4 linked regions of the Lepisosteus oculatus genome follow. Each later gene encodes a partner of the first gene's protein in a complex. Links are inferred from orthologs where the notes say so. Each region holds a gene or a part of one and is shown in the gene's direction. Other genes may lie near its edges.

The links.
Region 2: ints4 (region 1) and ints2 share a complex: the UniProt entries of both Homo sapiens proteins name them as parts of the integrator complex. The link is inferred for Lepisosteus oculatus from reciprocal best matches to the Homo sapiens genes INTS4 and INTS2.
Region 3: the proteins of ints4 (region 1) and ints9 are in contact, whole or in part, in a cryo-EM structure (PDB 8RC4), measured with the Homo sapiens proteins. The link is inferred for Lepisosteus oculatus from reciprocal best matches to the Homo sapiens genes INTS4 and INTS9. Residues at the interface, in NP_291025.3 of Homo sapiens: Leu53, Gln54, Leu57, Gln58, Arg61, Lys62, Pro86, Ser87, Leu90, Lys91, Ser94, Gln125, Gln129, Asp132, His164, Gln207, Asp208, Pro209, Arg210, Arg212, Asp244, Tyr245, Glu246, Gln247, Trp296, Phe837, Gly840, Leu841, Val842, Val843; in NP_060720.2 of Homo sapiens: Lys2, Tyr4, Lys18, Ser21, Thr22, Leu43, Val44, Gln45, Glu87, Glu89, Leu90, Asp92, Asp97, Thr122, Glu145, Arg146, Val147, Pro148, Lys159, Glu174, Ser176, Thr177, Ser192, Gln195, Phe206, Gly207, Ile379, His380, Ser384, Asn385.
Region 4: ints4 (region 1) and ints12 share a complex: the UniProt entries of both Homo sapiens proteins name them as parts of the integrator complex. The link is inferred for Lepisosteus oculatus from reciprocal best matches to the Homo sapiens genes INTS4 and INTS12.

Annotation. Positions count from the first base shown.
Region 1 is NC_090700.1:9,867,373-9,874,323, forward strand, and holds the start of ints4 (integrator complex subunit 4), read left to right. Parts: upstream 1-3,933; 5' UTR 3,934-4,031; coding exon 4,032-4,085; intron 4,086-4,873; coding exon 4,874-5,071; intron 5,072-5,658; coding exon 5,659-5,776; intron 5,777-5,920; coding exon 5,921-6,027; intron 6,028-6,951. Other genes in the region: BTB/POZ domain-containing protein KCTD14, read left to right, coding at 1-243. UniProt on the Homo sapiens protein: Component of the integrator complex, a multiprotein complex that terminates RNA polymerase II (Pol II) transcription in the promoter-proximal region of genes.
Region 2 is NC_090721.1:4,667,011-4,674,755, reverse strand, and holds the start of ints2 (integrator complex subunit 2), read left to right. Parts: upstream 1-4,735; 5' UTR 4,736-4,830; coding exon 4,831-4,908; exon of another isoform or gene 4,909-5,101; intron 5,102-5,950; exon of another isoform or gene 5,951-5,994; coding exon 5,995-6,299; intron 6,300-6,514; coding exon 6,515-6,653; intron 6,654-6,952; coding exon 6,953-7,055; intron 7,056-7,397; coding exon 7,398-7,511; intron 7,512-7,745. UniProt on the Homo sapiens protein: Component of the integrator complex, a multiprotein complex that terminates RNA polymerase II (Pol II) transcription in the promoter-proximal region of genes.
Region 3 is NC_090697.1:60,385,628-60,393,336, forward strand, and holds the start of ints9 (integrator complex subunit 9), read left to right. Parts: upstream 1-4,702; 5' UTR 4,703-4,873; coding exon 4,874-4,882; intron 4,883-5,751; coding exon 5,752-5,879; intron 5,880-7,709. UniProt on the Homo sapiens protein: Component of the integrator complex, a multiprotein complex that terminates RNA polymerase II (Pol II) transcription in the promoter-proximal region of genes.
Region 4 is NC_090696.1:65,283,780-65,291,159, reverse strand, and holds the start of ints12 (integrator complex subunit 12), read left to right. Parts: upstream 1-4,361; 5' UTR 4,362-4,584; intron 4,585-5,431; exon of another isoform or gene 5,432-5,434; 5' UTR 5,435-5,661; coding exon 5,662-5,817; intron 5,818-6,134; coding exon 6,135-6,290; intron 6,291-6,871; coding exon 6,872-7,059; intron 7,060-7,380. Other genes in the region: gstcd (glutathione S-transferase C-terminal domain-containing protein), read right to left, coding at 712-1,143, 2,006-2,422. UniProt on the Homo sapiens protein: Component of the integrator complex, a multiprotein complex that terminates RNA polymerase II (Pol II) transcription in the promoter-proximal region of genes.

The DNA of each region.
Region 1 (6,951 bases):
AGGACGGAGGAGGACTCTGCGCGGTACAACGACGCCATCAACAGCCTGGATGCCGATAAAGAATCGGTGGTGAGGTTCGGCCCTTGGAAAGCATCGCCTACCGCCATGGACCTGCTGGACTGTGTCAAAATGGACATCGAGGCCAAAGGCTACAAGATCAGTTACCAGCAGCACGTTGCGGACAAGGGATTCCGTTTCAAAAGCTACGACTTCTTCTACAAATTCATATTCACTTGGTGGTAGTGCCAGCTAACGGTACACTCAATATTAGCCTCTTGATGAATTCTTGGCACCTGAGTTGCTTTTGCAGATCACCTTGTTGGTCTGGCCTTCGACATTTTCTGTTCAGGTTAAGCCTGGATAGTGGCTGAAATTTAACTTGCCCCTGGACGTCCAGATCAGCATTTTAGCAGAAAAGGAAAAAGCAAAAACAAGACTGAGTAACAAGGAGAAATTTGTCAACTCATATTTTTGCATTTCTTTATTGGTTCATCATGTGATGTTACCAAAAAATCAATTTGCTTAGTCCATGGATTTCAACATTTGGATGATTGACAGCTTACTTTTCCCTCTTCTTTGACTTATCTCCTACTCCGAGTTCTGGACAACCTCTTCTTTTTGCAGGGAGTTGTTTTAAAGAAGTAGTTTCTATAGAAGGGAACAAATGACTTTTTTTCTATTGACTGTGATTGTTATCTATATGATTGTTGTAGAGCTATATTATGTTAATGTTCTATGTTTAATCAGTGACAAATTATTAATTGTGAAATGAGTGTATATAAACATAAAGACTAGATATTTTTTTACAAGATTCTTTTCTTTGTCCTTTGAATAAAATCAACAGAAACTCTTAGTCAGTTGCCACTTGTCTTTATCTGGTAAGTTGTAATGGTCATTTTTTTTTTTTTAATGGAGTACAATAAATGTGTTCAGAAAGAGTACGAAAATCGATCTGTTGCCTTGAACAGAAAATGACCCGGGTAGCTTAGCGCCTGTACAGAATGCATTTGCATTTTAATACAAACCAGGATGTCATAAATTGGGTCAATTTTGACACCCCCCATTGGTGAAGAGTCTATATCCGTGCCTCTGATAGATGTCACAACCACTCACCGCTCAAGATGACATGACTTAAGGGAATTGCTCTCTTGTACTATACATCTCTGGCCGCTTGGCAGAAAAAAAGACTAATGTGACCACCATAGCCCAACCTGCCACTGAACCAACTTCATCACTTCAAGCCATTGCCAGACTGAGAGAGACTACGTCAGCAGCCATATCACCCTGCAACTCACTAAGGTTGCTGCTGGAAGAGGTGTTAGTGGGGCCAGCAGGGGGCGCTCACCCTGCGGTCCATGTGGGTCCTAATGCCCCAGTATAGTGACGGGGACACTATACTGTAAACAGGCGCCGTCCTTCGGATGAGACATAAAACCGAGGTCCTGACTCCCTGTGGTCATTAAAAATCCCAGGGTGTTTCTCAAAAAGAATAGGGTTGTAACCCCGGCGTCCTGGCCAAATTTCCCATTGGCCCTTACCAATCATGGTAATAATCCTCCTAATAATCCCCCTCTATGAATTGACTACATTACTCTGCTCTCCTCCCCACTGATAGCTGATGTGTGGTGAGCGTTCTGGCGCACTATGGCTGCCGTCGCATCATCCAGGTGGATGCTGCACATTGGTGGTGGTGGTGGAGGGGATCCCCATTACCTGTACAGCGCTTTGAGTGGAGTGTCCAGAACAGCGCTATATAAGTGTAAGCAATTATTATAATTATTATTACATGTAAAACTGTTTCGACCCACAACAAGTGAGGTTTTGGATGAGATCCCAGTTGTAAATTTCACCTTATCAGCTGAGCTTTTGTCTACTCCGCTGAATATTCAGAGCTACAACCATGAGTGAGCAGACTTCCAACTTTGTCCCCATCTATGTCTCGACTTTTGTCTGAGCCATGTTTTGAGAGTCCCTGGAAATTCCTGGAAAGTCAACTGCAGAGTCCAGTGAAGGATGGAATCTTTTCCTTTTCCTGCGGCGACAGGATAACCTTGGGACTGAGCATTTTGTTTCAAAATCTCATTGTGATAAGCACATGGCTTGCATCTAATTTGAAGGACTGTAGATTCCATATAGATTCCATGTTCACATTGTAACACTTGAGAATTAACCTATTATTCCAAACTAGTATGCTTAAGGAAGATTAATTCACAACAGTAATTATTTACTTTTCTTTTGAAAGTATGGATGCTGCTTATGAGTTTGACTACTGAGTTATATGATTTTTACCTTTGTTGCTGTTCTCTTTTGTATTGTCTGAATGCTTGATCAGACTTTTGTATGAGTCTTGGTAAATTAATTCTCATATATAGTGATTTTTGTACTGGATTATTTTGTACATTTTATTGTATTAATAAAACAATTGTGTATTATATTCTTTCAATTCTGACACCATTAGTTGTGATTGATTCCTAGTTGACATTAAGTACTGTCTGACTTCTTTTTCAGTTTCTTATTATTTCAGTAAATTCAAACCATGGTCACCACACAGTAGAATACATTTGTTCATGCACTTTATGCTGTACCATACGGTGAAAATGTCTTATCTACTCATGGCCTACTTGGAAGTTTTTGCCATCTGTGTTGTGCAAAACAAGACTCAAAAAGATCCCCACTTTTCCAGCAGAGGAGGTTTATCATGAATAAATAAAAGCATGTCAATACTGAACAAATGTGACACGTGTCAACATACAGTTTCCTAAATCCCAAATCAATGTCAAATCCTAATTGAAAGATGTAAGGTCTATTGTTTTTATGTATAATAATTAAAATGTTACTTTTATACCAAAGTATGTCATAACACTGTGTCCTCTTTATTTAACCAGGAAAGGAAGTCAGACATGTCACCCAGTAGCACCACCATAAAAATATATACACAGGTTACAGGGTTGTTGGTTCCCCTTACCCATAGCTATTCAATATTTAAGATTTTTTAGTCCTTTTTACATTTACACAATATTACATGTCATTTTAAGATTTTGTTTATTGCATTACTTTGTGTACATCTGTACTGCTTTAAGATGTATTTATAAGTAATTACATTTTCAGAGATTTTACAGTTAATATTTTAAGCATTTTTTGGTGCCATTTCCTTATATAGTAAAAAGGAATAGGCATGTGTCATGGAAATATACCTATCAAGGAAGCCACAATAGAGAGTTCTCACCTGAGTAAGGTCTTTATTTCAGTACTGCAATATTGGGAGCCCTGCTGTCACTCTGCAGAGTGCATCAGAGACTCAACTTGCTACAAGCAGCACAGGCTTTTTATAAAGATGTTATGCAGTGAAAAATACAGCACTTAGTCCCCATCTAATACTTCCCCTTTTACTTAGGACAAGAAGGATTACAACACAGAAACGAAAGAAGAAGCGCCAATACATATTTTGCAAAGTTTAGCAATTGCACTCTGCTCATTTGGTAATCTAGACAGTACATCCTGTCCTGACAAACCTGTCTGCTGACAACATGCACGCAGATTTCCATTTCACATGAAAGACAAAAAAAGTGATGATTTGATTGTAAACTTGAAATCTGTTGGAAAATAGGGGCTCCCTTATACATGTTCGCAAAAAATTCTTGAAAGACCAAAATCACTGCAATCCACAACTGTTGTATCCTTTAAGTATTTTTATCTATAAAACTGCCTGTTAGACCACTGGACAGGAACAACTACCCTATGTTATATCATTGTTGTGCTGCGAAAACTGATCTTCACACATGTCGTTTCGAATTGTTACACCTTTTATAGTAGCATAATCTAATATACGTTTGAAAAAAAACCTGATTTTATTTTAAAAGACAACATATGTTCGGCCTTTTTTTCCCCTGTGATTGCACTTAAATCAAGCATACAGTAAGCCTTATTGAACTACACTACGGCGACAAAAGTAGGACAGTCTTGTTTGACGCTCGATGGTACAGCAAAACGCGTTTGATTACAGTTTGACCACGATATCTTGTCTTTAAACAATGGCAGCGCATTTAAAGAAACGAGTTTATGAAGAATTCTCAAAAGTTGTCCAGGTAAGCAGATCTAACAGACTATTAAAGAAAAACAAATGTGTCTAGAACGTCATATTTAAATAGTTTGTAGTACTCTGCGAGCAAACACGGCTGCGTGCAAAAATGCTCAATGCGATCATAAGGCTTCACAGACGGTTAGAAGTTACAGGAAAATGTCCCGAAAGCCTTCGGCCTGTACCGATGAAGCAAATTCCTGTGGATTAAAATAGGCTTATGTTCCTTGTATATCCACGATTTTATCACCGAGTTATTTAAAACTCATCATTTATTTAACATCCGTATTTTTTTCATTGTTTTGCCATTCAATTATATACGATTAAACTTGCACGTACCAATTCAAAGTAATAATAAAAGTTGAAGTTGGCATTGTGCACGCTTTTTAAATTGTTGATTTTAAATGTAATTTTTTAAAGTAACCACCACAGTTTATATTTCTGTCTCTAAACAAAGAAAAGAGATCGTCAAAACATCTTATTTTACCAGAATGCGTTAACTTTGTTTTAAACTTTAGAATGGATATTGTGGCGTCAGTGTCGTGTTTGAATGTATTAGCTAATGTCCATACACCCCCTTATTTTTATTCATATTCATTGAAGAGATTTTGACCTGCTTTATAGTTATGCAGCAGTGTTCTACAGCCGTGCGACGTTAAGTCTTAAAGCAATTGCAAAAAAAAATCTTCAGCTATTCTGTTTGCAGAATTAAATAATAAAAATCGGGGTTTGAAAGTCTTTTTTCAACAAATGGGGCTGCCATAAACAAATGACGGATAAAATCAATGGTTTCAGCAACACCAGCAGGAAGAGATCCCAGCTAAGAAGTTAAGGTTGACCAAACCCAGCAAGTCGGCTGCCCTCCATATTGACCTGTGCAAGGCCAGCAGCCCCACCGAAGCGCTGCAGTACCTCCTTCAGTTCGCCCGCCAGCCCGTGGAGGCCGAAAGCGTGGAGGGGGTGGTACGCATCCTCCTGGAATATTACTACAAGGTATTGTCAAAACAGGGAAGACCCTGGGCTCACGCATGCCTCTGTATCCTTCGATTAGGACTGATTGTTTTGCAGTAGGCATTTCATCCACACTATCCCCCGGACTGTACGAGAGACAAATTCTTTGACTCTCTTCAATTCCAAAAACTCAAAACTCACCTTTTTACCACAGCTTGTGCCTGATTGCCCTACGTTCTGTCTGTATAAACATGTATGCTCTTGTTTATTTTTTTTTCTTTTACCATTTATTATACTTTTTTTGTCTTTTTCTTTATCACTCTGCACAGCATCCTTGGCTTTTGGAGAGGTGCTTTTTAAACATTAATAATCGTTTCTTATTATTTTTAGTAGTATTTGACTGCAGTAATTATTGATCAGGAATAGAACAGGTAATGCATGAGGGTTTAAATAGACTGTTCTTAAATCAATAGATTCTTGTGATCAGCAGGAATGATTAACTGGAGGAACAGAGCACGATCCCTTTTTGTTAAGGAATAATACAAACCAATACTATCAAGTGTTCAAAAGTGTTCTTTTTGCCGTTCAATTTTCAGTCGGTAACTGAGAGTTTGCCTTTTGCTCTGAAGGAAACGGACAGCTCAGTACGACTGAAGATTGCCTCTCTTCTTGGGTTGCTGTCCAGAACTCAAGGCTTTTCTCCAGACTGCATAGTGGATGATGCCATTAATACTCTGAACAATGAAAGTGAGTCATGTAATGTTTTTCAAAGGATCATTTCTATGCCGGGCTGGACACTTTACTGAGGTTGTGGAACATGTTTCTGAAGTGCTTGTTCATATTTAGACTTTACTTGCTTTTAACTATGACATTTTGTGTTATTGAATGCAGAATCACACCAGGTTCTTGCACAATTGCTGGACACACTTCTGGTCATTGGTTCACAGCTTCCAGAGAGCCAGAGTCTCAGACTTAGATTAGTTGAAGTGGCCTGCAAGGTAAGAAGTGAGCCAGTATTATTTGCTTTTGTTCCTGCATGACAGTATGCTTTTAATGATATAAACATTTAGAATTATATTATAATTTTAACTGTGATTTTGAGAGGTCCCTTAGTGTTTATTGTGGAGTTTTTACATAAACAGTGAATTGATTTGAGTGCAAATGTGCAGCACAACACCTTGAATAAAGGCTAAATATTGTATTATATTACTCATTATCTGAGGAGTGGTTACACCACTGGGACCCTAAGTTCGGTTCTGGACCTGGAATGCTAAACTCTTATATGGAGTTTGTAAGTTCTTTCCACGTTCGCGTTAGTTTCCTCCCTAAGTCCGAAAACATATCGATTTGTTAATTGGCTTCTGAGAAAATGGTCTCTGGTGTGTGTGTCTGCCCTGCAATGGACTGGCATCCCATCCAGGGTGTACCCTGCCATATGCCTGTTGCTGTCTGGGATAGTCTTCTACTCCCCTGCAACCCTGAATTGGAAGAAGCTGTTGAAAATGGTTGAATTAATCACTACAGGCGTCTGCTATAACTCGATAGATGCGTTCCTGTAAAACCTTGCGTTATGCAAGATCGCTCAATAAAAATAACAGGGCTTATGGGGAAAAATAGGGTTGGGGCAGACCACTCAAAACCGAACCAACTGCCTTACCAAATTTAATAATTATCCTAATAAAAATGTTAGCACAGTTTAAATATGTTAAATTCATAATAAAGAAAGAAAGAAATGCTCATATTTAGGGCAACGCAGAAGATTTAGTGAAAACAGCACAAAAATTGAGGAGCACCTCCAAGTTAGCACTTCCAAAACAAAGCATGTGGGACAACTGACCACCGCGTTCAGTTGTGTTACTCCGCGACGCAAAACATAAGCATGTCGGGGATGAAATGGCGTATCAGCCAATGCCAGTTTCACG
Region 2 (7,745 bases), on another chromosome or scaffold:
TCATGGGGATATCTATTACAAAGTAATTACTGGAACAACTCTCCCTGCAGAAATGGTATTTGTTATGGTAACATCGGAGATAGCCTGTTCACGTTACACTTATCTGTCTAAAGTACTGGAAGAAAAGGGATGTTCTTAAATGAAACAAACTAATTCATTTCTTAGTAAAGACCTGAAATTCCTGTCTTTGGATGGTATTGTATCCAAATGAAAATGCCTGCATCTATCTTATTTATTGTAAGTTTTTAAATGTATAATTTGTCTTATTTCTTAACCTCTTTTATATATTAAAAAAATCCTAGAAGGTTTATATTGCCTTCTTGCTTTAAAGCAATTGGTCTAAAATATATGTAATCGTCTTAATTAAAAAACAACAAAAACACATAAAAAATAAAGTTGCAGTAGGTTGCTTTTAGAGTATTATTTTTTGTAAGGGGGACAGAAATTTGTATTGTCATGATGTACAGATGAAGTAGGTTGGGGGTTAATGTCCATGCCTTTGTGTGGGGGGGACTTACAGCTAAGCTGTAGCTGCAGAGTACTTGTACAGCAATGAAGTTCACTGTGTTTATTCAAATAAAAGAGGTACATTGTCGTATATAGTATTTTATACCACACATTTAGACACAAAAACCGAACGGCAATATATATAAATAATTATATATAAACGCTGTGCCTCTATGGGCGGTGCAGCTTCTGTTTTAGGAATAAAGTGCGTCAACTCAATTCTCCTGTGGTTGTGTTTATTGGGGGGGGGGAGGGATGCCTTTGTGAAATTTAGCAAGGAAATCGGATGGAGTTTTTGCCGCGACAGCTGAAAGTACACGCTCGGATACATCTTGTAGTTGACTCCCGCGCTCAAAGACTGCAGTACGGTGTCCCGGGTGATACTTTTAAGAAAGCAGTCCAGTGGCAGGCAATGGGATTGCGGGGCAGCGGGAGTGGAGCAGGTGTCTGTCTGGGTACAGACCGTCCAAAATCCCACTCCCCCACAGCTCTGGGACTTGGCTTCCACTCGGGACTGAGCTAAACAATCTGGTTGTCCAGCCCCCAGATCCCGGAAGATAACCCCCTTTCTGATTTGCCATGACCACATTAATAGCATACCAACTTCTATTACATTGTGAAAGTAAATGTGTGGTGTAAATGATTTCTTTTTAATTATTATTTTAAAAGCCTGTGGCATATGCAGTGTTTGTGTGCACAGAGGAAGATTAGCTGCTTTTTGTTCAGCTTCTATTAGTCTTCCCCTGTTCTGAAATAAACCTGTATACTGGTTCTAATGAACCCATTGATTCTCTCATGCATTAAAAAGTTAGTGGTTGGAAACTACTACAGAAGAAACAATTCCTGGAGAGTAGTGCCCTGTTAATTTCCATTCATGTTGTAGAGTCCTCTTGTCAATACAGGCTTAATTAGCTAGGGTATTTTGCATTGATATAAGGTCAAGAGTTGGCCACTTTAATTTGTGTGTAAATATATATATAAAATAAATATGATGTCAGCAGATTTTATTTGTTTCTACTGTATAAAAGTTGTGCAAAGTGGCAACTAATTTTTTTGTAGCAGTTAATGTTTCTCCAAAATGCGCGTTAGGATCATCACGGTGTCCGGATCTGCGTTAATATCTGCATACCGACCATCAGAATCATGATTTGGCATAAAGCATGGATTTCACTTTAGGATTCCCGGTGCTATTGGTTGGGCAGTTATTAGTCAGAGGTTCTCATTGTGGAAATTTTAAGTGATTACCATTTTAACAGGTCTGGTCTGGTTTAAAAGCCTATGTTTTCATGTTTTTTATTAAATCTATAGTTCAGTCTTCAAAAAGGCATAGTATGAGCTTGCAAACTTCATAAAATAGGACCCCATCAATTTTTTATTTTTTTGCTTTACTGTTATTTCTGAATCCTTATGTTTTTTTTTCCCAGTGTGAAATCCATAAAAGCCTGACTATTGCTTTTATGAACCCACCAGCATAGCCTTGTCCAAATTCAACATTCTTCATTATAAATGGGAAATACACTTTCCTGCTATATGTTGTGTGATTGGATTTTAATGTATTTTATTTTCAATCATGGTGTGCAGGATGTATGATTTCCTAAAAACAAAAAGGCAACATTGAGGTGGTAAAGTAGTTCTGTAGTGTACATTACTGACTTTTTTTTTTTGAGGGAGCATGAATAGGAACTTGCAGTCCATAAATTGCCATGTTTGATTTTTGTGTTTTTCATGGTAAAAAGGGGGTCAATAAGAGGTCAAACTGGAAACATTTTGAATGCTGGGTGGGCTTGACTTTTTGTTTGTACCAATGAATGACCCAAGTTTTAAACTTTAGTCTTCAAAGAACAGCTCTTGGTATTAAACTGATTTCCATACAACTCGTGTGTATATATATAAAAAAAAGCAGTGAGCCTTTTCTCCATTCTGAAAAAGCTTATTGAAAAGACATTGATGGAGGGCAAGATTGCAAAAAATTAGCAGAGCTACACTCTTTGTCATGGAGATCAGTGACTAATATTGTACTACAGTTGGATCCCTCTTATCTTGATTGCTCTGTATGCATTTCATATGTTTATCTACAAATTGCAAGTGGTGCTTGTGTTGAAGGTGAAGCATCTGCTAAGTCTTGCTTGGGCATTCATGTGAGTTTTTTCTCGCCAACAGCTACCTAATTAAAGAAGCAAACAAAACTGTTAATCACATATCTGTAAACATTTTTGTTATAATCTGGACCCCTTTTTCTCTACCTGAAGCTTTGCTCTCCTTCCCGGGTCCAAATGTTCAAATGTACTTTGTAGAACGATGGTTCTATGGAGGTCCAAGAAATTGCTAATGCATCAGTCAAAGTGTACATTTCTCATCTTTGGACTTATTCAGACAAGTGTTTTCACGATTGCCTCATTTTATCATTTTATTTTAAAATTCTATCATGGCAAATGTATCAAGTGTTGCATTACAGAATCACTGAAGATGCAAAATTATCATAACTACTAGACATCTTTTTGCATCTGTTGTCCACTGAGGGCTGAAAATTGAATTCAGAACAGTATAAGGTGTCAAAATGTGAACATGAAATCTTACCTTTTGTGGTGAGTAAGGCAATGCAGTGTCCAGTTTGAATTGCTTGGACCTATCATAGTCTTTTATTGTTGTTTTACTTTCTGATGTCATTTTGTTTACCATCTGCATAATGTTGTGAAATGTCTTAAATTTGCTTTAATCAGGAGTGCTTTCTTAAAATTCTAGTTTGGATATATATATTTTTTCCAGATGTTGTTAAAAGACAATTTTATGCTTTTATGACCACAATCAAATTGTAGTCTGAGGGGGGTTTATGGAGAAACACTAAAGCTACAGAGAGACCTGGAAGCTGAGAATTGTACAAATTGTGGTTAGAAATTTAAAAGACAAGAAAAAAGTTCATACTTTTTAAACAATTTCGGATGAAAAATAAAATAATTTATTCATAAAGTTTCCATTGTTTTGTCTTGTCATCATTTCCAAGCAAGACTTCTGTTAATGTGAAAACCTCCTGTTTTCTGGGATCAGTTATTCAGTGTCTCATTCTAACTTCTTGGACATTGTGTTCTGTGGAATATGATTTTCACCCTTCAAAGTCCACTGAATATGCACTGATTAATGTGTGAATGTGATCACACGCATTCATTTAAACCATTGGAGAGTGGAAAGTGAACTTGGCCAAAATCCACAGTGAATATGGCTGTAGAGTTGTATGAAACTTGAAAACTGTTTTAGATACTGTAGTACGTAATTGACATAGGTCTTGCATCACTGCAAGGGTTAAAATTACCCCCCTTGCATCCCCCTTTAAACGAGATGCGATATATCAAATAAAAAATTGGTAATAGGTTTCAAATTTCATTCCTAACAGCTGCTGCACTGGAGGGACTGAAAGTAAATAGAGGGGCTATTAATTGTCATTGCAAAATGCACCTGGGGTCCATCAATAACTTGGAACTCGGGAAGCAAGACCACTTGTGAGTCTGCTCACCCTTGCATAAAAATACATATTTTCTAAAACGATTTCAGACAGGAAGAGCACATTTTGTCCTCTCCGTGCTGAGACGCCAAGCGTCCTTGCGAGTGGTGTCAGCTCCGCCGATACACCTGGGTATATAGGTAAAGCAGCTGTGGCGCCACAGCAGGACGGCCTGAATTGGGTGGGAAGATCTCGTCCCATCGCCGTTAACTTCATTTAGCCCAAGACGGCTCAGGGCTAGTTTCACTGGGGGTAGACAGTGGCGACCCAACACCGTGACCATTCCTTCTCCCTCCCACCTCAACCCAGTAGACGGACATTAAGATGTTGTCTCTTTCCTTCTTTTATTCATTGTGCTCCAATTTTACTTTTTACTACCAATTTTATTTGTAGCATCCTGTTTGGCGTGTACAATAGCTTACACATCGTTTATTTTCCACATCGGCTAGGTCAGGTGGTTCCTAAAGGTTTGGATGTTTATAAATAGTGATGAATAGGCTGCGTGGTTCTAAGAATAGATTGCCTTATGTGACTGAGCCCTAGTGTTTTTACTGAGTTTTACCGATACAGATATATTTTATTCTGCGTTTTTACAGCATAATTGATAGCGACATTTAATTGTCACTCACTACTGTTCCGAGCCCCAGTATCCAAATTAAAGGGTCACACGTCTGGTACTGGCTTCTCAGAGTGTTGCTCGCTGTACTTCTCGTTTTACGACTTCTTCGTATTTTCCGCCCCCTGGCAAACGCAAATAACGCAGCGATGCCTCCCCCTCGTCGCTTTCTCTTGAGCACTGTGCTGGAGTAGCTGTTAATTTCCAATGAATGAAAAGCGTGTTTTCTTGTGTACCCGGTAAAAAGACAACTCTTACTGAAGAGAAGGAATACAGCAAAAACGGACAGGTAAAAAAAAAAATCAAATATATGGATATAAAGTACCTCTTCTAGACAGTGGAACCAGTAACGTTTTTCGAGATGAGGCGGCTATGAAACCTCGGGACCTCGGCACGGGGGATTCACGCCAGTCCGAGGATCTCGTTGGCTTGCAGGCCTCAACCGCTTCGTGGAAACAACAAAAAAACTAATTTTAAGTAAGGTAAGATGCACGTAGGAGCAGCGTAATAAACAAGAAGCAAATGAGAGTGGGGGTTCTTACCGTTTACATGTGGAATTCTGTAATTTTAATTAACACGGAGAGCTTGATAAATGATCGGAATAAAGCTACTAGCTCTTTCGGACCTGTGCGATGGTGACTCGGGTACAGCAGGAGTCGAAGCGAGTGTTGCAAAACTATATGCAGGATACACTCCTGAAAACACAGTTATTCCAAAAATATGTAGAGAGTGAAATTTATTAAATTTATATCCATATCCTATTGAAAGGATAGTTAGAAATGGAAAAGTGTGTGCTTAGCTCCTAAAACTGCCGGTTCTAAATTCTGCGTCGTTATATTAATGTCCGGAGTAACTACAACCACCGAAACTTTACGATGATCTTCAAACGTCCTAGTTTTACAGTAAACGATTTTTTTTCCTCTGTCAGTATTCTAACAAAATTGTGTTTTATCGTGTTTTTTAAACCAAACTATACCTCAGGACAGTGTTGACAAATTTTATCGGTTATCGATGAATATCTTTTATTTAAAAAATACCGTACTGTATTGTACTATACTGTAAAAGCGGGTTAGCATCAACATCAGGTTATCCTTAACCACACCTGGTTTAAATGTCTCATTTAGCGTCTATAGACTGACCAAGAGGTTCTCATCACAACTGCAGCAACTTTGCAACACTAGAAATCCTTTGTAAAACCCCAGGAAAACCGTCCTTAATCATGCAGAAAATAAATAACATTTAGCGTTATCGATCAGCACTGAACTGACCCTGTGATGAAAAGCAAGTCTTTTTTTATATAAAAAAAGAGTTTCTCTCTCTCCCCAACCCAGCACTTTTTCCTCTTTCCTCTCTTCTTTCCCTTTCACGGTCGAAGGAGCCCTCCAGGATGTCGGACTGCGCAGGTCTGCAGTTCGTGAGCCCCTACGCCTTCGAGGCCATGCAGAAGGTGGACGTGGCGCGGCTGGCCGCCCTGAGCGACCCCGAGCTGAGGCTGCTGCTGCCCTGCCTGGTCCGGATGGCCCTGTGTGCCCCCGCCGACCAGAGCCACACCTGGGCCCAGGACAAGAAGCTCATCCTCCGCCTGCTGTCCGGGGTGGAAGCGGTGAACTCCATCGTCGCGCTGCTGTCGGTCGACTTCCACGCTCTGGAGCAGGACGCCAGGAAAGAGCAGCAGCTCAGGTAATGGGGGTGGTGCCCTACACCCACCCCCCAATGGCATTGGTGGCCACCATTCATCCTGATATTGCACACAGCAAACACAGTAAGCTAGAGAACGAGCTGTCTCCTTTCAGAGGCCGGTGTACGACTACCCAGATTGTCTTGATCTGATGCTTTTCTCCCATTTCCCACCCCGACTGCGCGGTGACACCTGGTGTTTGTGTATTCCCTGACAGACACAAACCTGGTGGTGCCAACGGGGACAGCATCTTGGTATCCCAGCTTCAGCACGGCCTGACACTGGAGTTTGAGCACAGCGATCCTCTTAGAAGACTCAGGCTGGCACTCAGCGAATTGTTGGCTATAATGAACAAGGTAGGACGTTGGACTCTCTCGCGGGCCTGGCTGGTACACAGGAGCAAACCCTGCAGGATCTATAAACGTACCCTCTTCTTTTCTTCGTAACTGGATCTCCAACAAAATACCCTTTTAAATATCTAATTAAACATAAGTTGCAGCTCAAATAGGGTGAATATTACCTCCAGATAGACACACAGGATTACATTTTCCTGCAGTGTAATATTTGCCCGTTCACATGCAGTTGTGAAAGCCTGCAGACGTCCCCAGATGTACCTTTGTCATTTTGCAGCTCGGGATTTGATTTTGTCTTGTAGGTTTCAGACTCAAACGGAGAGTTTTTCTTAAAGTCTTCTGAGCTTTTCGAAAGCCCCGTGTATCTAGAAGAAGTGGCGGATGTTCTGTGTATTTTGCAAGCAGGTAGTACTTGATTCAATTTCTGATCTTCACTCCAGAACACTAATAATCATGTTATGTTTGATACGCTGAAAGATGAATAAGTGCTGTCCTGTGCATTTTATTCAACTCTGTTGTGTCCTGAGTGAAACACTGAGAAAGGAACTGTAATGAGGAAAAACGTGTGAATTACTGTTGTCTTACAGCTCTATTCTCATAACTTTTATTTAGAAAGAAATTTAATAGTGAATAGGAATTTTACACGAGCACAGGGCTGATTTTCACTAAACACAGATGAAAATTGAATAACACGCCATGTTAGGGTGTTGTTTCTGACAGCGTGGTTTTCCTCCCATGTTCGTGCAGAGCTGCCATCGCTGTTGCCCATCATAGACGTGGCAGAAGCGCTGTTGCACGTTCGCAATGGAGAGTGGTTCCTCTGCGTACTAGTGGCCAATGTCCCCGACAGCTTCAACGAAGGTAAAGGCCTATTGATGGTGGTACTTTGTTTGTAGAGCTGCATGAGACGTTTATTCAGATATTCAGAATCACTTCTAGGAGTTAACGGATTTGTCAGGGACAGTTAATGTATTGACCATACATGGTTTAAAATGCAAGTGCCAACAGTGTTTAAATCATTGTGATTTTGTGTTGACTCCTATTCATCAGGGTGAGATCTGTTAATCACACCCTTGCTAGCTGCTGTCTGTAGAA
Region 3 (7,709 bases), on another chromosome or scaffold:
CTAACAGCTCAAGGATCTTGGGTTTTATTTCTGCCTCAAGTACCTGTCCATGCAGAGTTTGTTTTTTAGCATGTGTCTGTGTGTTGTTTCTCCAGGAGCTACTCTTAAAAATTGTTTCCCTGGACTTTAGCCGAATGAGGTAGGTGGCTGCCTCTTTCTCCCCTATACTCTGGTTGCAGGGGCAAGAACTATAAAGATAGATTGTAACTGAAAAACACAATTAGACCAAAAATACCCATAGACCTCAGTTCTGCTTGTATCTTTGAACATTAAATTTATACTGACATGGCCTTGTGTTTTCTGCTAAACTATGTTTCTAAAAATTGTGACTCTCTGCTCACAGGACATGAAGTTTGTTTATTTATTTGAAATAAAAATATAATTTCTTCTGAACTTGATCTTACTTATTATGAAAAACATATTGTGAATCTCTTTCGGAATTGCTCATCTTACAGTTCAGACTGTAGAAGATTGTACTTATTGTAAGTTATTGCAAGAGAATTCCTGTAACCAAGGAAACACTTTCATTCAACAACAATGCTGATGTTTACATTTACTTATACAAAATCCTTTTCATGAAAGATTAGAGGCTATTTCACTTCTAATGGAGTACCGTACCATTTTTTTTACCACCATAAACTCAAAACAGCACACAACATGAAACAGAAAGCACAATGTGGTCTGGCTTCTTAAAATCGATATTATTGAGAGGAAATCAACAAATTTCATATTATGAGGCAATTTTATGATTTGAAACCTTAAACTACCTTCAAAATACAATAAACAGGCACAAAACACAGTCACCTTAAACATAATGATCTTACCCTTGCTGAAGCTATGAAATAAAGATATTGTTTTCATTAATGCGGACAGGGTGTCAAATGAATAAAATTCACTTTATGGAAACCAAAGTGGTATTTTGAGATATTTTAAGTATACGGTAAATGAACACACAAACACATTATATTGATTCATTCCTGAGGTTGAGGAACTTTTAATACAGAATTCAAAATAAACCAATATTAAGAGATTAGGCTAGCAATTTGTGCACAGAAGTGGGTTGAAGGCATTTGCCGAAGTCATCCATCGCAATATCCACATGGGACACCTCCACCACACATGCACACAAAATGGAAAATGTTCTAATAATTATAGATCAGTTTATTTCATCGCTTTATTTGATTTACAAAATCCATTAGTATGGACTTTGCATGGTACCCAAAGGAGGGTTACGCATATCCAACAAGAGGACGGCGATAAGCACTGACGGAAAGGTGATGAGATACAATGGGGAAAGTTAATACACTGGCAAAGTTCCCGGGGAATATAAAAGATAATTACAGTGATGAATCTAGACTTCTCAGGGAACAAAAAACATAAACATCCTCTGTGAAATGCAGCTGCAGTATGTGCTGCAGTCATGTGCGCTTATAGTAACTGCCTCCAACAAGCAGGGGTCCAAAAACACAACACAGCTATCTTGCTTATTGTTCATACACTGGCAGACAATCGTCATTTACCACTGTCAGCAGACTGCAACACCCCAGACGATCATCAAAGAACTACTGAAGAGAAAAATCAGAGCTGATCTCACCACATCTCAACTCAACAAAGCTGAGCCTGATCAATACTTGGGTGAGGGGGTTCTGAGGAAAATCAGGTTGCTCCTGGAAGATAGTACTCAAGTACAGCAGTTGGGTCTGTAAAATGAGTTGTAATGCATGTGCCACTGCTGGAATTTAAAGCAAAGGTTTGACTTCTATGGCTGGATGTTCACATAATGCCATTTGATAAAGTAAGGGCCCTTGTTATCTTGAAGGAGCAGCATTGTCGCCTTCTAGGCAGATATATGAAGCTATGCAGTTTGAGCCTGTTCATAGGAAACCCCAAAGAAAACCAGACTGCTGTTGTAAGTGGAATTGGTGAAGGAATAGATCGCACTTTTCCCTCTGGGCCAGAATTTCCAAACCAATGTCCCCGTATGGGGACCTGTTACAACTGTGCTCTAGGATTTGCTGACATTCAGATACTTGAAATAGAAGTCCTGACAAAAACCAAAGATCCTATGACATTTTTAGAAAAGGTAGGAATGTTGTCTAAAGTAGACTTTGATCACGTACAGTCTGGCTTTCCTAAATTTTCCTCTAAACTGAATTGGTGAGGCTGTTTCTCAACTCAATCCCTGAACTGCTGTATAGTGGAGCTGCTGGCACATGATTGCTGCCTAGGTGGGCACTGTGCTACACAGGTAGAAGAAGTGGGTCTTCTCCTGTATGTAAAGTGCTTTGAGATTTATTGGGTTAAAAGCCCAAGTTTCAAAGAAGTTTCCAAGCCTTGACGAATTCTAGTTTAGGCTTTGATGGTATTGTAACTACTAAAGTAACGTCTTGCAATGTTCACCTTATTTTCTGTAAGGGGATCTGCTGGCTAAGAATAGTACCCATGTACTTCGGCAAAGAACGCTATGCTGTAATTTTTGAGGAGAACAGTTCTTTATTATGGCCTTGGTAAAGAGTAATATAATCCCATGAAACCCATTTGTGACATGATCCAACAAGCATTAAAGTAAGCATAGACAGTGCCTATGAAATTGCCCATCGATATCTGAAGATATGTTAGTTAAATTCAAGTCAGGACACAGACCAGATCACAGAGGGTAAACGATGACAAAATGCAATGACAGTTCACCTAAAAGAAGTAAGTCACACACTGCTGCCAGTCAGTTTGGGAAGTGACGCAGCACCAATTTGTTAATGGCACCACACAATTGGTCAAGACAGATGTGATATCATAATTTCAGATCAAGGTGGGTTAGTGTCTTCAAACATGCCCTTTTTCCACCACCTGTTCTCCAAATGGGGGCAAGTTACAGCCTGGATACCTGTAGAAGTTCACGTTTACAAGTGGAGCATACGGCCCGTGACTCACTTTGGCAGACAGCCATTTAAAGGAAAGGCTGACTAGACATGCTGATTTTTCTTCAAGATACAAATGCAAATCCACACTGAGGTAAAATGGTGCGATTCTCTTTATCTCTGAACAGGTCTAACATTAACTGCATTATTTTCTGATCTTAGAGTCTAACTCCAGTACACCTCTGGAAATTATTGAACACAAAAAGTTTTCACAGTGTTCTACAAAGAGAAACAACAAAACAGAATTAGCAACACTCACATATGTCAAAACGTCCAGAACTGTGGATTTCGCAGTTATCAGTGAAGGATTCTTCACTTACTGTTGTATTTTAGACAACACAACATTGTTTGCTAAAGGTACAATGACTGCTCCATTCTGTACACACTATGCATTGAGATTTATTTCTAATTTGTACTGTACAGAGCAATTATCATAAGGTCACAATGATATGTAAGAGTCAAAACGAGTCAAAAACTGATTCATTCCAATTCATTTCAAACAGACAACTTTAATTTTCTTCTGTTTTTGATGCATCTAAACGATGCATTATGTAGAACAGCCCACTCAATATTCCCTTGATCTATAGCAATTAATTTGAACATATATTACTGAGAAAGAATGTGTTGATTCAATAAACAAGGTCAGACTAAATATACTTGACACTATTAGGACGATGATGAACATGAATGATAATCGTTAGGGAGTTAGTATTTGCTACTACAGGTCATACACCTCCGCTCGGTCAGACGTCACACATTCAGAAATGAGTTACGTCATTATACTTCAAGACCACCAAAACGCCCACACCGCCCAAAAGCTACCACATACTTGCACCACCAAAATAAACACACGTCCCAGGGTACAATGTTTACGGCTGCTGGAGTAAGAAACACCATCCACCCACTGCAACACCTAGCGTGCTGCACTTTAAAAATGTGTAAATTATGGATCATTTTAGGACTACTGCATTTCGAGTTGATAATCCAGAAGAAATGCAGGTCGCTTATTCTTCCCAAAATATGAATTAGTTTGCATTTTATAGACATGGCATCGTGATGAACATCTAGCTGACAATGCATTCTCAAAGGACATTCTGTGTTGAGAAGCACATACTGTGCGAACAAAAATCTGAAGATAACTCCCCCACTAAGCATAACACTGATAACACTTATGATAGTTAATCATGTTTACTTTTGCAGTTTCAAAAGACCTGGCTTTATGTTCAGATCGGAGTCAGTGTACACAAGCAACCAATACACGTTTCATTAAAACTGAAATACACCTGATCAAAATTCGACCTGTATATCATTCGAACAGTGTAAACTAATCCAGACGCTGCATATTGACACATAATTCTTACCTTTATCAGTTTATCTTGGGCCTCCGTCCACCACACCATTTAATAACAGGAATACAAATAAATTCCTAGAGTGATCCCGCGAATTTAGCACCGAAACAAAACATACACGAGTTATTTTTTGAAACCCTTGCTGTCCTTTTCCTTCTAATTTGATTTCAGTCAGAGACTAGACTGACTTGCCTTTGTCTGTCTGACAGCAGCCATATTGACATCAACATCAGAAAGCAGAATGAGGTTCGTCGGGAACCGTAGTTTCTCACAAAGTATAAAACCGAGTCCCTCTCAATCTGAAGCGACAGGCTTCCACCGAGAACTACAATTCCCGTTAACGTCATGGACCTACTCCCAGCGGGACTACAAAGTAGCGGCCGACAGAAACACTCGTCACACGTCGCTCTGCGTTCTGTTCCCTTTTCACCCTTTGCTCTAGCTACCCGGCAGTGAAAATTAAAAAATAAACTACATCTCCCAGAGGAGGTGACCACAGGAAGTATGTTGAAGTGAACTATCAACTTTGACTCTTGAAATCCAAAAGATTTGGCGTGGGGATTGTAAATATATACTGTACATCTAGGTCATCTGACATAACAATTCAGGATGAAACTAGTGAGTATACAATTAAGTTATTTCATTTCTTGTTGCAAAGTCCAGGCTGCAATAAGCATGGGTCAGTTGAATGAGGGAACTTTAGAGAAACTGGAACGTTTTTTATGTTATTAGCAGGAAAAGGTGACTGAAGTTCGTTTGGACAATTCACGTTACATTTTACAAAAGCTGGACACGTGTTGAATAGAAATAATCTAATGTTTACCACTTTACTAATGTACAGTATATGCATTAAGGAAAAGACTAGTGCACGCAAAACCTGACGTATTAAGCTTAGTGTCCTGGTTTAATTCAGTTTTGGTTTATTTTAAATCTGGCCTTTCTGCAATTGTTTTAATTCAGATGACAAAGCAGTTTCGTACTTCTTCACATTATCTATTGTGTGTAATCAAATTGCTGCACTTTAATAGATGGAGTCGGTCCCTTTCATAAAGCGCTTCACGTCTGCAAGTAATTATTTTTATATAGCACAGTGTTGCTGAACGATGAAAATAAGTACAGTTCAACGTCATGATGTTTTGCAAGCAAATTTAGTATTTTACTGTTCTGTACTTTGTTTTGTACTTACAGGAAAAGATTTGTTCACCGCTTTAAAAAAATGTTCTTCTTTTACGTAATCAATTGTAAATGGTTCGATGTCTGTTCCAGTTTGTCTGATGGACTGTAATAAATCAACTTTATCATGTATGTCATCACTAACGTCGTGTGAATAAAGAAGGAAGAATATCCCAGTAGTTGGATTTAAATTTAAGAATTGAAGCTCATAAAAAAAAAACATTTTTCTGACATAGCTTATTGATAAATACTTTTAAATGCAATTGCCTCTCATGGTTTAAAAACATGATGTGTGTTATCCTGTATTTGTGTAGTACTGCTTGTCTGGTCATCCAACCTTGCCCTGCAATGTCCTCAAATTCAAATCTACAACCATCATGCTGGACTGTGGGCTTGACATGACATCAGCGCTGCACTTCCTGCCTTTGCCTCTAGTACATAGGTAAGACCATCAACAAAAAAAATAAAAATACAGTCTTCATAGTAAAATTCACACATGTTATTGGTGAAACGTTTTTCAAAGAACAGCATGGTGACACAGTATATAGCATGTTTGCCTCCCAGTGCAGGGGTCCTGGGTTTTAATTCCTGGCATGATCTCTGTGTGGAGTTTACATGATTTTTTGTGTTTGCGTGGATTTCCTGTGGGTGCTCCGGCTTCATCCCGTGGTCCAAAGACATGCTGGTAGGTTCACTGGCTTCTGTAACACTTGCCTTACTGGGAGTGTGTGCCCAGCAATGAGTTGGCATCCCATCCAGAGTGTAGCCTGCTTTGTGCTCAGTGCTTCCAGGGATAGGCTCTGGAAGGGCCACTGTGACCCTGAATTGGACGGGCAACTATTGAAAGTGATGATGTTGTGATGTTTTACAAAGGAATTTGGCATATTCTTCTTGTTCTATGTAATTTTAATTTCCCAGAAACATCCTCAAAATTGAGTGAGTGTTATCTTTTAAATATAAAGTTGACCTAGCATGTTCTCCCTTTTTCCTTTGTGAATTGTTTGTGGAGAATAAGTAAAGAGGGTTGGATTTCTTCAGGAAAGCCAAGATATTTTACAAAGCTGTTAGATTGAGAGGATAAAATGTGATCTGATGGTTGGCTGAAAAGCCCACTTCTCCTATGGCGATATTTATATAAATCAAACCACTCTAAACAAAGACCCTGAAGATTTGTTGGAGCGTGCGATCTAGTTGTTTTTTTTATTTGTAGACTTTACAATTCCTCGCAAACAACTGGACATCCAAATAGTGGAGAAAAAATAAAACAGTCAGCATTTGTAAAATAATTATAATGCTTATTTGGAAATCAACATTTTAAAAACCTGGAGCTTGAATGAACAAAGATTTGGTTAGAAGTATAGAAAAAAACAATCTAAAAGAAATGGCCAACATTCATTGTCAAAACTCATAGTTTTGTTAGTTTCAAGTAAAATGAGCTGTATCTAATTTTTGGTTTCACATAAAGACATTTGTTTGTTTAGTTAAGTAATGATAGATCTTGATTTTGTTCACAAATCTTGATGTTACTTTATTGTAATATAATACAAATCAAGTCTGTTTAATGGCAGTGACAATGAAAGTTATAAATACAAGACCTTTAAAAATTGTTTATGTTCCTTGTTAATGTTTAGAATTGTAATCACTACCACTCAATTGCACTAGTCATTAGCTGTAATTTGCACTCTAGTGCTGTATTTTAAATTTAATTACAGCTCAGGTTTGGAGTCACTCGATGGAAATATTGTAGTTATGTAATTCTTTTATTTATCAATAAACAAATCACATACATAATTGGTTTACAAAAAGAGGAGAGATTGGGTAGTTTGCATTAGGTAGAACATAATAATAATTTCTCTGACATTTTTTTTGTGATTTAATTAATGCATAACAAAATAGGGCAGCATTATTGTGCAGTGATTAGAATTTCTACCTCGCAGTGCTGGGGCGTTGGGTTTAGTTCCTTGGGTGCTATCTGCGTGGAGTTTGAATGTTCTCCCCGTGTTCACATGGGTTTTCCCTGGGTGCTCTAGTCCAAAGACATACTGATATGTTAATATTAGCCCTAGTGTGTGAGTGTGTATGTCCTGCCGTGGACTGGAGATCCATCCAGCATTTATCCCACCCTGTGCCTGTTGCTTGCCAGGGTAGGCTCTCACTCCAGTGACCCTAAATTGGATGAATTAGGGTGGACTATGCAAACATGAAAGCTTGATATTTTGTATTCTAACATTTTTATTAACTATTATTTTTAATGTATTACTCTTTAGCTGTG
Region 4 (7,380 bases), on another chromosome or scaffold:
TCCTGATAATAATATAATATTACAAAACATTAAAGATGTGAATGGTTAAAGCACATGGTACAATTCTCCAACAAGTCAAAAACACTTCTAGTGGACTTAACATTAATAACGTGCACCTCATGCATTCCACACCTGCAAGGTGGCTGATACTGTACTTTAAAACTGACCATAGTTAATGATTAATTCCCTTCATCTGAATTAACAGGGCACAGAAGGCTAAAGGGTCAAATAAAGTTCTGTTTCTGAAAGAGAATTTTGTGTGCATTGCTTTTGTTCATGTTATATTGGCTGACAGCATGTTTCACTAACCAGCAACAGCACAAACACTGTAGGCTTTATCATTTTTTTTCCCCCAAAGTATTGAGTATTCTGAATTTCTGTTTTGTTCCAACCTGACACTCTGTGGGAGGTTCGAAAAATCCTACTTTTTTTTTTCACTTCCACAATTATATTTGAATGTAAGTTCTGAAATGTAGCTGAATACAAGTTAATGTGTAAGCTAAAGATACATCCACTAACATTTAATTATTTTATTAAAGATTTTTATTGAATTAATAGCATTGGTGAGCCCCCCCCCCCCATATGTAAAACTACAAGTACTTTTTTCACCCACAATAAAGACTCCAAAAAGTTGTGAATAAAACAACTTTTTTTCACTAAGTATAGCACCTGGCCTGTGTTATTCACAATTTCACTGATTTGCATCCTTACCAGAAAGTGGTGCAAACAAGGCAGCAGGACAAGGTCTGTAAGGGTGAAGTACAGCCCCTCTGCAAACACATGCTCTAGGGCGGGCAGCTCAGTGGTCTTGACTCTCCTGATGTTAGAGGGCCCCCTAGTGGCTGACAAAGGTGTATCCTCCACAGACAGCTTGGCCAAGGCAGCCCTCAGCTCCAGCTCTTCCGAGTTCACTGACTCCCGGAATGAAGCAGGCTGGGTGGCAGAGCCTGCCTCTTCCTTCTGCTGCTGCAGTTTCTGCCGGCGGATCTTGTCGTCATTGTGGACCTTAACGGGCTCTTCCAGTTTCTTCTCCAGGCGCAAGATAGCGGCGGGTATCTCTGGATCTGGGCCTGCAGGCTGCCTGAGAAATTCCTCCACAGCTGAGGGGATGTTGAGCTCACAGAGCCGCGTCCATTGACTCACCTAGGCCAGAAATCAACACAGTTATTCCAGTAAATAGAATTCACTAACATTTCCCTCAAGACAGAGATACAGCAGCCCCATGTCCCCTTTTAAAACTATTATCATAATCACTGATGACCTCCCCTACCTATGACAGAAGTAATATAAGGTTTATCCTGGTGATGCAACATAACTACACCATACAAGTAGCAGAAAACAGACCTGTCATTTGTTCCTATAAACTAAATCAATTTCCATTGCAATGTAATAAATTACACTATCTGCATTTTCCATCATATGATTTAATATGATGACTACTGAAAGTCACACACAAAACAGAACAGACTACAAATGCCCCTCTAAAGCACATACCACTAAACAAAAGTATGGTAATAATAGCAGATCATGTCCATGTGAACCTCACAAATATAACCTGAGTGCTTGTTTGTTCTGGGGAGATGGGCGTCGAATGGGGTATACTTGTTCTACTTATATGTGTTCACTGTCATTCTCAGGAGCTATTTGTTCAGCAAGTTATCTTTGTTTAACATAAACCCGTTGTGTAAAATGCACTTTCCCCATCTCAGTTAAAAAAGACTTTTTCGTTTCGAACGTGCAGAAATGATTCAGTGAAGTATAATGAGTGAATACCATACTGCTTAAGATCAGGACTGTTTTTCTTCCCCTATTTATTGATGAACAATAAGCTGAAGTGATATGAGAAACTACCTTCGCTGGAATGGTTAATAAAAATGTAGTAGTAAAAAAAATTATCATCACAAGCAATACACCTACAGTAATTAGATAGTCAACAATACAGTCTAGCATATCTGCATTAATAAACAAGCAAAAGGAAAACAAAAGAATGAGATAACAGACTTACTTCGGCACAGGCTTTGAGGCAGGTCTTTTTGAAGCCCAGCAGGGCCGCTACATCCTTGCGGCTGGGATCTTCCTCGCAAGTCCTCTGAATGATATGTCTCAGCACTACGGCCAGGCCTGCTCGGCAATACCTGCCCTCCTCCTCCAGCACCGCAGGAAGGCAACAGCTTCTCACCAGCGCGGGCAGGTCCTGTTCGGAGACGACGCTGGCGGCCAGGCCCCCCGGCACTCGGTGCCTCCATGACTGCGCCGGGTCAGGCCGAGAAGGAACCAGGAAGACACGGAATAACTTGGAGTCACAGTACGACAGGAGAAAGAGCGTTATGGACGTGTGGAGAGGGAGAATGGCCTCTTCACTCTGGTCAGAAATGTCCAGGTAGAGACACTCTTCTCCCCTTTTTGAATTTGTGTGTTTCATTGCATTGGAGGCACAGCAATATACTCTGTAAAAAGAAAAGAATATTAAATGTTCACATAACAGCACAATAAGTCTGTAGGTACATTTATGTACTTATATTTTTAGCTTTATTAAAGTAGAAATATGGGCTAAACCTTTAGAGTACAGCCTCAATCTGTAAGACTCAATGACGAGATAGTGTGATTCTCAATAATTTTCTATACATACTCTACATACACAGGGTTTAACATTTAATATTCAAGAAGTGTATATGTAACATCTTTGAAACTATGCATAGGAAAAGTCATTGCAATGTGATAGTAAGCGAATGTTTTTCCTTTTATATACAGTAGCACTTTGCAAAACAAAGGATTCCCAAGTGCTTCATATATAGAAGGGGATCCACAGTCCACAACTGAAGAGGTGCACCTCTTTGAATTGGCTTCATTACTTTGTTCTCCTTCCCACTAATAGCTGATGTGTGGTGAGCGTTCTGGTGCACTATGGCTGCCGTCGCATCATCCAGGTGGATGCTGCACATTGGTGGTGGTGGAGGGGAGTCCCCATTACCTGTAAAGCACTTTGAGTGGAGTGTCCAGAAAAGCACTTTATAAGTGTAAGCAATTATTAATTATTATTTTGGGATATGTGGCAGTGCCACTCTACAGCAGATCAGGCATAGAAGTGAGAAATTGATTTCCCTGTTGAATTAATACAGAATTTAGGAAAGCCAAATTGCAGGACACAAGGATTCAAAAAATAACAGCCAAAGTCGTCTTGTGTGACTCTGTGTGTCTTCGTGATCTACTGTTTGGAATCAAGCAGACCATTTTAGAAATCCACCTCCTTTCTGTTAAGCAACTGCAACATCAGCACAACTGCAGACCAGTGCAAAACAGATGTCATGACCATTACAGGAAACGTCATTACACTGTTTCACCCAGGTCTCAGAAACGACACACCTAAAATTTAAAAGGGCACGTTAGTGGACTTATCGCAGGGGCATTCATAATCTGACCATATTACAGAGATTAATGATTAGGACTGATTTACAGAAAATCAGACAAACGTATGCAGGTCTGTTGTTTTGCCTTTACATTAGAAATTTACTATGACCTAAAACCAGATTATCTGACTCCTATTAAAAGCTTAACTCAAATGAGAAGCAGCAATAAAAAGCAGATGAATCTACAGAGCCCCCAGAAGAGAAAGACATGCTGTGACCCACACATACGTTCTGCCCAAGAGAAAAATCAGCGTGTCAATGAAAATATGCTACCGTTAAGATTAGTTCAACTTCACTGCAAATTTTTCATTTTTTAAAGGTGAGGAGTAAAAGATTCAACACCCTTCATGCGAATGCGATCAACATCAAATGTAACTGAACAAGCAGTTTTCAAGACAAGTGCACTAAAATTCTCTCTCTAGCCCAAGTGGACCCTAAGACACTATAACAAATCAGACGTTTAATTAAATTAAAATAGTTAAAATGACAACGACATTTCGTTTCATTTACAACATTTAACTTAAAAGTAAAAACATATCAAGAGGTATTTCTGTAGGGTTTTTATTATACAGATCTTGTACACATGTCTAGCTTTATAAACATGTTGCGCCTAAAAGAAGTTGTTGATGTTTATTATTATTTTACTGTTTGAATCTCTCCCATTCAATTCACCGCTTTTCTTGTTTGTTTTCGCAAGCGTCAAAAACGAAATCAGCTTACTCTACTCACAGCAAGCCTCTGCAGCTACAGTTCTCTTTGCACACAGTCACGCTGTTTCAAACCTTTTCTTCCTTGTGTCACCAAGAAACGTGTCCGTGTAACATCTCACACCCTTAACCGACGGTTGGGAAACGTCATCTTAAATTAAATAGTCGTTAAGTAGTTGGAAAAAATGGCACGTAAATGAATTAACTGTTTTTATTATATGATTTAAATGCTGATTAACTGTTTTATGAACGATCAAAAAAGTTTTTTTCCCCGATAGGGTACAAATATTATGTTTTGTTTCCCCCGAACACAAAAAGGGGAAGGATGGTTATAGATCATATCGGAAAGGGACATGCTCACGGCGTAAATTGTAAATATACGGAGCTATATATATATGTATAGGTATATAAATTGAACAGATGTTAGTTTGCATCAGTTTATTTTTGTTTTTTATTTTCGAAAAACAAAGGTAAGAAAGGAAATGCGTTAAAAACAAGAGGTGTTTAAATTACAGTTGAAATAAGTTTGTTGCAAGGTGTATGTATGTACTTCCGTCCAGATGACAGATTAGGAAATCTAGTAGCAATATTCCCATTCCGAGATTTTTACACCAGTGGTGATGAAGTGTAAAACTAGAGAGGTGAAGTAATATTTGGAAAAAAAGGCATTTAATCTCAAAGATTTTGTTATTGTGTAATACGTGTTTTTCTTTAGCAATAGTATATCCTGTGCTGCGGAGTAGTTGTACGGCTGGTTCCGGATTCTGGACAAAATAGTTCGTTCAGAATAGTTCTGAAGGGAATAAATCATACGAATAAATTAATCAAAAATGCTTATTTTTTTCCTTATGATATAAAGCGTTACCACCACTGGCTGTTAGATATTTATAAAAGGGAATACCAATGAATATTTTTGTTCATATAGAAAATATCAGTATCATGACTTAACTGTAATAGTATTAGGTTTTGAAATAAACGACAGGGCATTTCATTAATAAAATTTGGACGATCCAACTGGCAATTTACTCGGTGCGACTGTAACAGCATAACAGCATGTTTCATATGGCTGTGAACCAAGAGATTAATATCGTTTGTTACACTACAAAGTGACTATTCAGATACTTTTACAAATTTCCATTTGACCTCTGATTTTCTGAAAATAGGACAAAATGAGATTCAAGTCATAAAAATATATCTGCAGAAAAAGCTAAACCTATACATCCCTGACAATATAGTGCAGGCTTTTGGTGGAGGTGTCCATTTAGTAAGTAACTATTTAATATTAAATGCAAGCAGTCATTTTCTTATGTTTTCCAGCAGCTGAACAGGATTGAGGGAAATGTGGCCACTCTCTGAACCAGAAAAGAGATTAAATGATGCATAATGTTTTGTCAGTTAAACAGTAACAGACAAAGAAATGCATCAGCCTTTGGCCCTTCCTTCACGTTCAGACTGCACACTTAAGGTATGCTCTGTCACTGATGGCAACTCTCGCATCAAGACCCTTGCAGATTCATGTTGTATGTCCATAACAGCTGACAGAGATCATGGCTGCCACTGTAAGTCTGGAGCTGGACCCAATCTTTCTGAAAGGCCTTGGATACCTGCATTCCAAAAGCAAGGATTCAGCAGAGAAACTGAAGGCACTGCTAGATGAATCCTTGGCAAGGGGAAGTGATTCAAACTATCGGACCACGCTCAAGGTAACCCTTTGCAGAAAATTATGAGTAAGGCCTTACATTTGAGCCATGATGCACTAGTTTGTTGCAGAGCCATGACCTTGCTTTTTTTTTGAGAAATAACATTTTAAAATGTAACAAAAAAGGGCTTTGCCTTGTGTTTGAACCTTGTTTACAAAGGAAATCCTGTAATCTGGACACAGTTCAGCCTACAAGAGTAAAAGTAATCAAAGACTTGTCTTTAAAGAGTTTCACTCATTTTGTTCTGTTCTATTTTTTTTGTTGTTGTTCTTCACTGGCGTGTCCTACCTGTGGTGTGAAATCTTTCTTTCCCCAAACAGGAAGTGGAGGTCTCCAAGGTGACCGTTACGAAAGTGAGCTTGAGCAAGCAGGAGACAAAATCTTCCTCTAGCTCCTCTTCCTCAGGCAGTGGCAATGGCAAGTCAAGCAGCTCTGAAAAAAGCAAAAAAGAGAGTGAGAAAAGAACATCGGAGAAGGTAAACTGTCAGGAAAACGAGGAAAAAAAGGAAGATTCCCATTCATGAGGATGGCAAGCATTTGCCAGTCCTAGTTTCTAAACAACCACTATCTGAAGTTTTTCAGATACCTTGGGTTAGGTATCTCATTCTTAAGGTGAAACTGAGCAGGAATACATGAGTTGTATCATTAGCATGCAAAGCTTATGTAGACTGTTTCACATTTACACAATGTTGTTGAACATTCTGTGGCTTTTTTAATGGTTACAATGTTTTTAACCATCACTCATCTTAGGACAAAGGTCCTTGTGTTCTTATACTTAATGTATTTAAAAATTTAACCCAAATCAGTATTGTTTGCATATATAAATACTGTAATATGAAAAAGAATATTTTAATAATTACTACTTAGTAGAAACCCAATAGGAAACCCAAATCAGTATTGTTCGCATGTATAAATACTGTAATATGAAAAATAATATTTTAATAATTACTACTTAGTAGAAACCCAATAGGAAGTTTGCTATTGCTGGGTGTTAATTAAAATTGGGGGGCTCCTATGATACACGTGCCACAGTTTCACCTGTATTCTGTCATTTCAGGTTAAAGTGGATCCCGTTGATGCAATTGACCCACCAAAGAAACCTCGCCTGGAGAAGCAGGAGAATAGATCGTCTCCCATCACAGTTCAAACTAGCAAGGACCTCCCCATTCCTGATTTGTCCAGCTTTGACGAGACGAGTGCCGATGATTTTGCTATGGAGATGGGTTTGGCTTGTGTGGTTTGTAGGTGAGTAACGTCTCATTGCATACAGTATGAACAGCCTAGGTTGATCACCTATAGAACATAAAGTAATCTAAATAAAGCAAAGACGATCTTGTCTTTTATTACAGTTTTACACATTTGTATGTTTTAGTATATTAATAAATATTAACTAAACTGAAAAATAAAAATTGGCCTGCCATACTTTAATGGTTTTTTTATAATTTTCTTAGATTTTTCTAACCAGTATTTGGGAATAGAAGCTGGTATTTCACCATTCTGCGCATCACAGTTATAGAATACAAAAAAAAATTACTTCAGTTGGGATAGTACCTTTTGGGATAGGTG